Linked DNA regions of Caenorhabditis elegans. The protein of the gene in region 2 purifies or fractionates together with the protein of the main gene of each other region. This does not show direct contact. Each region holds a gene or a part of one and is shown on either strand. Other genes may lie near its edges.

Region 1 (7,700 bases), 3.8 Mb from region 2:
GATTCAAAAATGAAAGACCCTCAACATCAACTGATTTCTCAATAATGTTTATTCCAACACGAATAGCTCCCGGTTTCACAAATTTACTGAATTGAGCCATTACATGCCAAATTGGTTGTTTGTAGTACTCTTGAGCAGTTGCATTCACGATTATTGTTGAATCGACAAAGTTTTTGGCAAGATTTGGTCCTCCTGGAAAATAAATATTAGAAAACTGTTTCAACCTAGTTATATCAAAGATTTAAAATTCTAAATCTGTTTCTTACTATGGTTTTTGATGTTTTTAAATTAAAAAATCGCAAGTGTTGCTACACTTCACAAACCAACCTTGTAAATCAAGAATATAATTCCAATCAACCCATCCTCCAACCCAATTTCCCATATCTTTAATCAAATCATTTGCATATTGTTCAGCTCTAGACCATGATCCCAATTTTGGTCCATCTGCTGGGAAGTATCCAGCACATGCTTCAGTTGCCAAAAGGAAATAGTCTGGGAACTTCTCGTGAGTTTCAGTGAGTACGGTTGCTGGGTCAATGAAGTCTTCATACCAATGAATTGCAATTCCGTGGACGTATTGAGCAGCAGTTGGATCCGTTAAAATCTAAAATTTTATTTTAAAAGAGTGGGGACGTCGGAATGGGATATGATTTTTAATCAAGGGTTAAAAATTCAAATAGGTAAATTCTGCGGATAACTCTTCCCAAGGCCAAAGAAAGATTGATGGCAATAATAATTTTCTTATATTTATTTTGAATGTAAAACAGCACAAAGTTTGATTATTTTATGTTTTTCCCTACTGTTGCATAACTGTTTCAACAAAACGACAACTCACCACATTTGGCCAATTTGGCAAAATAATTTCCTGATTATCATTCATCATAATCTTCAAATTCTAACAATTAGTCAATAAATACTTCATTACACTTTGTTTCATAATTTACCAAAGACTACGGAAAGCTCAAAAATACCTCAATTTTGATTCCCAAAAACAGTACTTTTGTTTCGACTGTTTTGTTTATAATTTCTATATATATATTTATTTTGAATGTGAAACAGTACAATTTTTGAATATCTGATATGTTTCAATGTTTCAACAAATCCATTTTAGCATTACGTTTCTTATCAGTTTTGCACATTTTGTCGTTCGATTTTAATTTTTTCTAAAACAATTTACACAACTGTTGAACTATTCGGTCAATTCAGTAATAATTGTAGGTGAAAGCGAGTTTTAAAATTAAAATAACCGTTCTAGTGTCTTGATTCGAAAAAAATTCGAAAATACTTAATTACAATGGAGTCTTAATAGTGTTAAAAAACGGTAAGTACCTAATAGAAAACAAAAAAATAAACAAAGGAAAGAGCTATAAAAGTTTTGAAAATTTTCAATAAATAAAAGAGGTTTTGTTTCTCGTATTGGATTACTGTTTTGTTTATAATTTTAATATATTTATTTTGAATGTGAAACAGTATCTAATTAATTTTTAGTCATTCAATCATTTCTACCTATTACTCAATGTTTTATCCCACCAATAACTTACTACATTTGGCCAGTGTGGCAAATTAATTCTCTGATCATCATTAATCATAATCTTCAAATTCTTAGTCACTGGTGATGAAGCAAGTGCTGGTCCCAAAAGTTTCTTTATAAAATTTCGTTCCATTGATGCATCGAAAAAGAGTGTTTGCCATTTCCAAAGTGGATCAATTCCAGTTGTTGGCTCGTTTTGTGGTGTCAAAGACCAAAAGTCAATACCTTGAGCGTGATAGGCTTCGAAGAATCTTTCATTTTATAATTTTATTTTTTATTTCTTTGAAAATAAGAACTTACTTTACAAAGTACTGTGCCCATGTCTGATAGTATTTTCCATTCTGATCTCCCAATAGCTCTCCGGCACCAACCATTCTTCCAGAAGTTTTCATCCATCCTGGGGAGCTCCATGGAGTTGCAAATAGCTTTAATTTCCCTCCAGAAGCTGTCATTGCCTTCTTGATAAATGGAATTTTATACTGGAGATCTTCCACTGTTAAATTGAAATTTTTGAGATCAAAATCAAATTTAACGTCGTCATAACTGTACTCGTGAGTTGAAAAGTCAGTTGAAGCCATTGGAACTCGTCCAAAAACATACCCGAGACCTAAATTATTTATTTTTCAAGCTTAATCTTTTGAAAATAACTTACCATCATCGGAAAAGTATTGCTGAATAATTTGATCTTGCATTGTCTGTGGCAGCATCTTCATATTAATTCCAGCAGCATCAGTGAATGCAGCTCCAAATCCCATTACCGGTTGAAAACTTTGAGTTGTGTTCACATATACTTTTGTTTTGGCTACAAAAACGATGTATCATATCAACAATTGTTACAAAATAATTGTGAAACAGTAGAATAATTTTTTGCCAACTTCAAAATAAAAAAATATCATTCTCTAAATTCTAATATTATAAAGGTTTTTGTGTTAGTTGAGCGGTGCCTGCCTCTCTATCTAAGAGCCTGCCTACCGCCTATTTTGCATCAGTTTCGAACCAGAAGTTACTGATAAGCTTCCGGTGTATTCTGGAGGCAGGCAGACAGGAATGCAGGCAAGAATTCTGTGCCTTCATGGAACTTCCTATACAATTAACGTACCTGTAGAAGAAGTTGTATGCTTCAATTCACTTCTGTTCATTCTTTTTCCATTTCTTGATGTTGTATAGACAACTGCTTTCCCAGAAGTAACAGTTCCAAGTGGTTCAATTGTATCACAATACGTGGCATTGCAACGACAAACTATTCCATACTCTTTCTTCACTTCGGAGCAAGGAAGGGACTCTGGAAATTGGCTTCAGTTGTGTTTAGTTAGTTGGAATGGTTTTGGAAATTGTGCAGGACTACGTGTTTAGAAAATGTCTAAAGCTATTTCCAGTTCTGTAAATTGTGGTTATGAAAATTTTTACCATACGAAATACATATTTCAAATTTTACATTTCATAAATAAATTTGTTGAAACGGAATTTTTTAAAACTGTTTTATCCATGTTTTGCCTGCACATTGCAAGCAATGAATACAATACATTAATTACCGTATTTCTTCTATTAGTCTTGCATATGCAATTATGAAAAAGCTTTTTTTAAAGCATTTTTTCTAAAAAAGTTTCTAAAATAATTTTTTTACAGTCTGCTGCCCATTTAGATTAAAGGATACGAAAATTAATTTTGAAGAAAAATAGTTACGATTAGAAAAATATTAAATTTTGCATTTAGCAGATTGAAACTGAGTTATTTTCCTAAAAAAAATTATAACTGTTATCTGTTATCTATTAATTAAGGTTTGTTAATTGTAAACTCTGATAATTCAAATGTTTGACAATTTGAAAAAATCTGATACATATGTGTATAAGCGTAATGAAATCATTGCTCAAATATTGAAAAAAGATACTATTATCAATTCAATACCAATCCAAAACTCATATTATAACACAGAAACAGTAATTTTTTATTGGGATAACAACAAAAAGTTATGAATTTTTTCTTTTTTTACTTTTTTTTACCTCGGAGCAGTAGAAACTTTTCATGTTGGCAATTATGTTAAGATTGATGTCTACAATGATTTTTGAAATGACAAATTTTTTTTTAAATACCGTTTCACATAATCTTTAGAAGTCTTCAAAAAATATTGTTATCGTTGAATCCAATTTAGATGTAGCAAAACTGACGAATCCGAACTAAGAATTAGGGTCTTAATTTAATCGATTTCTGAGTGCAAAAGTCCAGATTTGTCCGTTTTAGTCACATTTGGTTCGCATTTATTGAAATTTTATAAACGCATTTGAGGACAGTTATATCTAATACATTTTCTTGTTCGCAACAGAATCATAAAAGTGTGGGATTTTAACAGATCATGTTGGAACAGAGTTTTTTTTGTGAAAATAAATATTAAAAAGTTGTAGCTTCAAATGCATTTTTCATGCTCGATATTTGTTTTAATTTGTATTTTTAATTTGTAAAACTTCTGTATCAACTTTCCACAATTTCCACATTTTGTTTAAAAAAAGATTTGTTCGAATTGCACGAATTAAGTAATACAAATACTAACTCAAATATTATACCTCGGAAACGGCAATATTTTTCAATGGGAATTTTTAAATTTTTTTAAATAGAAGTTATTAAATGATTATTGAGAATTCAGTTCCATTGAATTCAGTTCCAGTATTACTGTTTCTCAGTCATGATATGACAATTTGTCATATCATAACTGACTAGGGAGTGCTTTCACTATACGGTGCGATCGAGTAAAAGTAAACGTGTTATGCGATAGCTGGCATCTTAGGCTTTCAGAATCTGTAATTTGTTTCGGCGGAAGACCTCTGTGAGTCTGGAAATTTTCATCTGAAAATGTAGTACTGAAATCAGTTCATTTCCTATGGTTAACAGTGGATTTTGTCTCTGGCGCCAACAGAAGTCTCACCACAATGGTGGAAGGGCGAAATCATCGCTTCGGTGGTCGAGTGGTGAACGCGTTCGCCTCTTGAGCAGAAGTTTGTGGGTTCGGTTCCCACACATGGTTTAAATTTTGGCCTTTTTTATACAAAATTTTTAGAACGGGAAACAAATGTTTAAAACAGTTTTTTGAGGTTTTTACATTACTTTTTTGCTTTTTGATTGAACCACAATTACCCTGGAAACTTTTCAGAAATTTTTATTTTTTTCGAAAATTGCCACTTTTTTCTCCCATGAGAAAATTGGTTCCAAAAATTTTGTTTGAAATTTTTTCAAAAATGTATGAAATATTGTAGAGTGTCACGAATAACTTATTTTTCATTGTTTTCAATGACCGAATCACTGATTCTGATGCCGTATCAAGACGTTTTACCAAATCGATATTGGCAAAACATCTTGTTTTTGAGGCTCCATATCTCTGCAGAAAAAAATCGCACTAAAAGTGATCAACTAGAAACTTGTTAAACACAATGTGATCTAAAACTTTTCAGTTGAACACTTTTTTGTAAAAAATTTGGTTGCCAGGTTGGAACCAATTGATTTGAGCGTCATTATTTTTGAATATTCTAAATAGTTAAAGGTCTATATCTTGGGAACCAAATTTTTTACAAAAAAGTGTTCAACTGAAAAGTTTTAGATCACATTGTGTTTAACAAGTTTCTAGTTGATCACTTTTTAGTGCGATTTTTTCTGCAGAGATATGGAGCCTCAAAAACAAGATGTTTTGCCAATATCGATTTGGTAAAACGTCTTGATACGGCATCAGAATCAGTGATTCGGTCATTGAAAACAATGAAAAATAAGTTATTCGTGACACTCTACAATATTTCATACATTTTTGAAAAAATTTCAAACAAAATTTTTGGAACCAATTTTCTCATGGGAGAAAAAAGTGGCAATTTTCGAAAAAAATAAAAATTTCTGAAAAGTTTCCAGGGTAATTGTGGTTCAATCAAAAAGCAAAAAAGTAATGTAAAAACCTCAAAAAACTGTTTTAAACATTTGTTTCCCGTTCTAAAAATTTTGTATAAAAGAACCCAAAATTTAAACCATGTGTGGGAACCGAACCGACAAACTTCTGCTCAAGAGGCGAACGCGTTCACCACTCGACCACCGAAGCGATGATTTCGCCCTTCCACCATTGTGGTGAGACTTCTGTTGGCGCCAGAGACAAAATCCACTGTTAACCATAGGAAATGAACTGATTTCAGTACTACATTTTCAGATGAAAATTTCCAGACTCACAGAGGTCTTCCGCCGAAACAAATTACAGATTCTGAAAGCCTAAGATGCCAGCTATCGCATAACACGTTTACTTTTACTCGATCGCACCGTATAGTGAAAGCACTCCCTAGTGAGAAACAGTAATATTTTTTTAGAACTTTTCTAAACACTTCCAGGCACTTCTACTACTCACTTGCATCGCTTGAAAATCCATAAAACGCCAGAAATATTAGCAAAGAAACGGATATATTCAAAATCATGATAGCCTAGTCTAGTGTATTCCGTTAAAACCGGACACTTTCCAAGACTACTAATGAATAAATGATAAGAACAATATTTGAAGACACTGACCACGTTTTTATAAAGACTAATCAGTTGGAATATTCTGATCAAAAAATAATTGAAACTGATAAGAAATTATGGAAAAAAGAAGGGAAAACACATAAATTATTGGTTTCAGGCTGCTAACTATGCAGGACATATATAGATAATGACGGGGGCAATGGACAAATCATGGTATGATAAAGTTCGTGGTATGAGCGTGAGTGAGCTACATGTTGTCACCTATAGTGATCTGAAAACAATAAAGAAATTGGAACTTTAACATATTATTAGCAGGTTCAAAAAATTTTACCGTTTCAGTGTTTAAATTTAATTACGTGGGAAAAATTAATGTAATAACACTCTCATGGTATGCTTTTTACTGTCGTTTCATAAAAAAAAAACTTGCACAATTTAATGAGATTTCAATTATAGAAGAAGTACGAGTTGGAACGAACCGTTTTGATGCTTCTGTAAATTTTATTATTTTTTGAAAACTTTGTTAAAAGGCTTTTTTTTTATTTTGAACATTTATTTCATGCAAAATGAACTAATCAGTTAGGGAAAATTTTAAACCATTAGAAAAATAATAAATTTTTTATTAAGAAATCAAGGAAGCTCGACAAAACTGCTCTTCCTGGTTGGAGCGACAGTAGTTGGAATTTGAACGATGTCTTCACTTTTCTGAAAGTTTAAATTTTGCTGTAATTTTAGTGTTATTTAAATAATTTGAAAACTAAAATTTCAACTGAACCATAATAGTTCAGCATTTTGGTTCAAATCAGCAAGCAATTGTTTTAGTCACTTGAAAAAATTACTGTTTCACAAGTTTTACTTGATTTTCAAATTTCATTAGAAAATTGATCTCATCCTATAAAGCAATTTCAATGCACACGAACATTCTTACGGGTTGCTGCAGTTGGCATGATGACGTCACCGAGTTTTGGAGCACTTGGAACAGCTTTCGATTTTGAGCTAGTTTCTCCGGCTTTGAACTCGGTTCCGCTGAAAAAAATTGTTTTAAAAATAGCCAATATATAGATGAAGTCTGCTTTAAGATTTTTCGATTCAACTTTTTTTCTAAAAATGTGTAATGAATCTTTATATATTTTTTTCTTTTTTTCTTTGGAATCTATTTAAAAATTCTTGTAAGTATTTCGTACCTAAAATTTTCGTATTTCCTATTTCAAAAAAGTTTCACAAAAAAAAGTAACTTACTCTCCCTTCCACTCGTTACACTCATCAAACTGGCAGCAACAAAAAGTGGAATCTTTGGTTTGGAAATGGCATCCGGTCATCTAAAATTGATATAAATTGTCTGATGCTCAGAAAAAAATGAACCAACCGGACATTTCTCCTCCATACTGTGCTCATCGCTCCACGAACTGCATTCACGTCTGCAAAATTATTATTATTCTTGGGCGTAATGTTAAGCATGTAATGTTAAACAATTAAATTGAATGAGTTTTAAAGAACATGTGAAACAGAAAAATTTTTATTATTTGAGTTAAAGGAAATCAAGAAAAATTTCATTGTTTCTGTTTTACTGTTTCTGATTAGAAATTAAGAATTCACTTTAATTTTGTTTTACTATTAATAAGCTTGGATCTCAGAGAGATTTTTTAAAAGTTACACACAAAAATGAGCTTACATGTCACTTTTTGATTTACAGTTT
Region 2 (4,072 bases):
ACTCATCACTCGAAGAGTTTGGATTTCAACTTCATGCTAACCAAACTATTGGACATTACATTGGAATAGTTTATGCAGGGAGTATTGGTGAAACAGCTGGGCTTAAAACCGGGGAACGAATTGTCGGAGTAAATGGGCAACTGATTTATCCAACTAATACACATAAAGAAGTTGTTCCTCTGATGAAACAAAATGCAATGAAAACAACACTTTTGGAAGTACACTAAGAAACATAATCTAGCTTATACGTGGAGTGAAGCTAAGAAATTTCCCGTTCGTAGAGATGCTTCAGAACACTCATTCGATGCTATTGGTTCCACTTTGTTTCATCCTGATTAAAAATTAAAAAAATTGCATAACAACAACATTAACAATAAATATACCTCTGAAACACATGGCAATTTAATTTTTTGGAAGTATGGTTGTACAGTTTGAAGGGTTGACAATTTTTTTCGAAAAAAGTTATGTCATAATTAAGATGATTATCCGAACAAAATGTTCTCTTGGTTACTGTAACTTCGTAAATGCAAAGGGAATATTTTTACTTTCCAAGACTTCATATGAACACAATTTCCAGTAAAGAACAATTACAATTATATTCAAACAAAAAATTGTTCGTGCTCATCAATCTAAGTTGTTGATTGAATTTCCAGTGCTTGCTCTTCATCCAAGTTTTCTCCGACCAAAACTCTGATAAATCGATCAATGAAACCAGCAAATCTCTCTGGAATTTGAAAAGGAAGAGTTTTCCGAACATCTCTTGTTAGATAATAAACTTCTTTCAATGTTTCTCTGCTGCTTTTTCCTTGAATTTTTAAATTCCGATTTATTATTGCAGTGACCTTGTCCAGCTCTTCAGTTGTACATAATACAAAAAAGTTCCACATATCAATTGGTTGAATTTCAGCGTCAACGTGATTTATTTCAAGAAAATCTCGAAAATTCTCAAGTTTGTCGACCGTTTTCTGCCACTCTGAATTGCCTTTTGAATCTCTCAATTTTTCTTTTGAAATTTGAAGTTCTCGTTCCGCAGATTTTAAGAATAATGACTGTGCAGCTTGAGTCATGATTGATACAATTTTCAATAATACCTGCCAACATGGAGGTGCTGATATTCTCACAAGATCATTCTTCAACCATTTCATTATTTCCGGATAGGTCTCTTTGACGAAATGATAGTACATATTGTAGAATCTCAGTTGATTCTTCTTGTTCTTGAATTCTTCAATTTCACGCTCAATTTGCTTCATGGAAAATGAGAACATTGAAAGATAATTAAGAGCTTTAGCTATATCATACAATCTCTTGATATTCTTCATCATTACCACATCTTCTTTCAAACCATTATTAATTACACAGTCTGCACAAATTCCGATACTTTTGATTCGAAGAATTATTGTCTCCAGAAGTTCATCAGTGGTATGTGGTGTTAAATCAAAGGAATTTTCACCAGTTTTCACCAATAGCCCTGCCTGTACTGCACTGTTGGTACATACCCGAAGCATTGTGGAATAGTCATTACATTTTGAACACGGTCCGTTGAAGTGTTCCTGAAATGAGAAATGCATTTGAACAAGTTTAGAATTGTTTCAAATAGACATATATTAACGGCAATTCATACAGTGCGTACAATTTCTATACGCCACGCTACATCCAAAACATTAAAAAAAAACAGTTATAAGCAGTTTGCCGAGCTCGACAAACGGCAAATTCTGCAAATTTGCCGCACACCCCTGGTATAGGTTTCTTGAGGCGTTTTTTTTAAATTAATGAATTGATAATATTTACCAGCGTATTTTATTATGGGGTCATTTTTTACCTTTGGGTCAAACTTAAAAATCCAGATATCAGAAAACGAAAATGCATTTTTCTTCATTTCGACCATTTCCATTGCACTTCTATTGATACACTTTACACCGAATGAATCTATCTGATTGCAAATCGAGCATATATCCGATGATTTTCGATCAAAACATGATTCACATATCGAATGACCACATTTTCCAGAACATATCTTTCTTTTATTATCATCTAAAAAGAAGTTAAGTTTGTATAGATTTAAAAATAAATCTCAAAACATACCGTAAATCTTTTCGCATTTTGAGCATTGCGTTGAAATGGTCAGAGACATTGTGCCGAAATTTTAAATTTTAAATGAATGTTTTAAATTCGATATTGAGTAGTTAATAGTGACTCCAAATACGAAGAAAATTGTCAAATAAAGACATTTTAACGATGAGCAAGTAAACACAAACACCTTGTTTTGTTTATCAAAGCGATTAACAATACGATAAAAATTGTGAAAATATATCGGTTATGAAATTTCCTCAAAATATTATTTTGTCAACAAGATACAACCAAAAGTTCAGCAATCTTCCATGTTCACACTCAAATATTTAACATTTTTCTTACGGATTTTGAGAGAGAACTCAAAAGATCCCATAGTTTTGGTGTTAACATTCCTATCTGATGCTACACGTGAAATAAATCGTGTTTTCAAAAGAGTAGGAAAAAACGATAATTCCCTAGTTAGTTCAATCGCATATGGCACAGCTGCAATCAATAAAGAAAACGAATATTTTCGACTAGAACGTCATAATGTGAGAGGATGTCCGAATGAAAGATGTACCAACTATTGTGAGTTCTTTGTCAAAACATTCTGGACATGGTATCAAGATGTGACATCGCCCAGTTACAACGCACAAAGAAGAGAGCTCAAAAGAGCGGCGTTGACTCCTATCATAACAACCATTTAGACACAAACATGCACTCTCTGTTGTAACTGGGCGATGTCACATCTCCATACTAAGGGCCTGATGTTATGCCGTACACAGAATTTAGGTTTATTTTTAAAATAACTAAAACTCGCCATAGTTGGTACATCTTTCATTTTTCCATCCTAACACGTTATGACGTTCTAGTCGAAAATATTTCCTTTCAAGTAACGAATGACCGCATTTTCCAGAACATATTTTTCATTACAGAAAAGTGGTAGGAACAGTAGTATATATTATCATATAATACATTATCATATAATTCATAAAAATAAAACAATTTCATAATGCAAATAAATTTTACAAAAGATATCTAGCGAAAATGGCAATGAATGACAAGGTAATAGTAGCAGATGAGGTAGATTTAGTTGTAGCCTGAACAGTTGAAGCTGTTACAGGTTGAGAAGTTGATCCAGTCCCTGGTTTAGCTGTTGAACCAGTTCCAGGTATCTGGGTTGCTCCAGTGGCTGGAGATTGATTCAACCATTTAGCAATATTTTGATCGACGAGATCTCTGACAACCTTGAGCCCTGGAACATCGGCATCTCTAGCTGGATACATATCAGCACAATGAGCAGTTCCATCGATTAAGTATGAAACAACTGATGAATCAGTTGGATAATACAGACCAAGTGCATGCCAAGGATCAACATTTCCATTTGGAAGAACCACATTTGTTCCTCTATAATGGAAACGCTCTCCGTATTTGTAATTGGTGTTTGCAATTGAATAGTCAATACTTGTTCTCTGGTATTGGTTGTTAAAGACGTCCATGCACATTTGAACGTACATACTAAAAATTAATAAGATTTGAAATTAAATTTTCAATTTCGGTGAATAATTCAAAAAACTTACTTCACAGGTGTTGGAGATCCAAAGATACCATTTCCAGAGTCTGCAGACTGGAAATATCCAAATTCGGAGCAAGTCTGCCAAGTCCAGAGGAGTCCTGCAGCAGAGTCCGGTCCATAATGTTGAGCAGTTTTCAAATAAGTAATCATGTTCTGATAGTTATTATCCATTCCTGTGTATTGTCCTCCGTTGTAGAAAATAATCATAAACTGATTGAATGCAACAATATTATTCAATGGAGTGTTAGAGTCATTTGACATAATCTTGCACATATCAGGAATTCCATATCCGTTTGCATATGGGCCAGTGTTGTCTCCAGAATATTGGACAGCTCCTTGGAAGTTTCCATATACATTTGAGAAGAAGTAATGCTGGTCAGTATCAGTAACACTATCAGAAAATGGTGGTTGCAATTGGAAGATGCTTGAAAGATTTTGACGTCCTTC

Evidence for each region.
Region 1: the proteins of F23B2.10 (region 2) and gba-4 fractionate together in Caenorhabditis elegans (co-fractionation; one large-scale study listed by BioGRID). This does not show direct contact.

What each region holds. Positions count from the first base shown.
Region 1 is NC_003282.8:5,344,875-5,352,574, forward strand, and holds the start of gba-4 (Putative glucosylceramidase 4), read right to left. Parts: upstream 6,024-7,700; 5' UTR 5,965-6,023; coding exon 5,898-5,964; intron 4,548-5,897; exon of another isoform or gene 4,475-4,547; intron 4,056-4,474; exon of another isoform or gene 4,035-4,055; intron 3,848-4,034; exon of another isoform or gene 3,827-3,847; intron 3,688-3,826; exon of another isoform or gene 3,667-3,687; intron 3,422-3,666; exon of another isoform or gene 3,401-3,421; intron 2,947-3,400; exon of another isoform or gene 2,926-2,946; intron 2,814-2,925; coding exon 2,631-2,813; intron 2,343-2,630; exon of another isoform or gene 2,334-2,342; coding exon 2,184-2,333; intron 2,139-2,183; coding exon 1,832-2,138; intron 1,783-1,831; coding exon 1,542-1,782; intron 1,425-1,541; exon of another isoform or gene 1,401-1,424; intron 1,010-1,400; exon of another isoform or gene 989-1,009; intron 725-988; exon of another isoform or gene 700-724; intron 605-699; coding exon 328-604; intron 281-327; exon of another isoform or gene 260-280; intron 193-259; coding exon 1-192. Other genes in the region: Y4C6B.7 (Activin_recp domain-containing protein), read right to left, coding at 6,635-6,709, 6,925-7,030, 7,244-7,323, 7,371-7,422. UniProt on the Caenorhabditis elegans protein: Glucosylceramidase that catalyzes the hydrolysis of glucosylceramides into free ceramides and glucose. C.elegans contains specific sphingoid bases, which are unique or different in structure compared to the sphingoid bases found in other animals.
Region 2 is NC_003282.8:9,152,190-9,156,261, forward strand, and holds F23B2.10 (RING-type domain-containing protein), read right to left. Parts: upstream 2,175-4,072; 5' UTR 2,132-2,174; coding exon 2,083-2,131; intron 2,032-2,082; coding exon 1,820-2,031; intron 1,551-1,819; coding exon 630-1,550; 3' UTR 526-629; downstream 1-525. Other genes in the region: pcp-3 (Peptidase S28), read right to left, coding at 3,075-3,567, 3,630-4,072.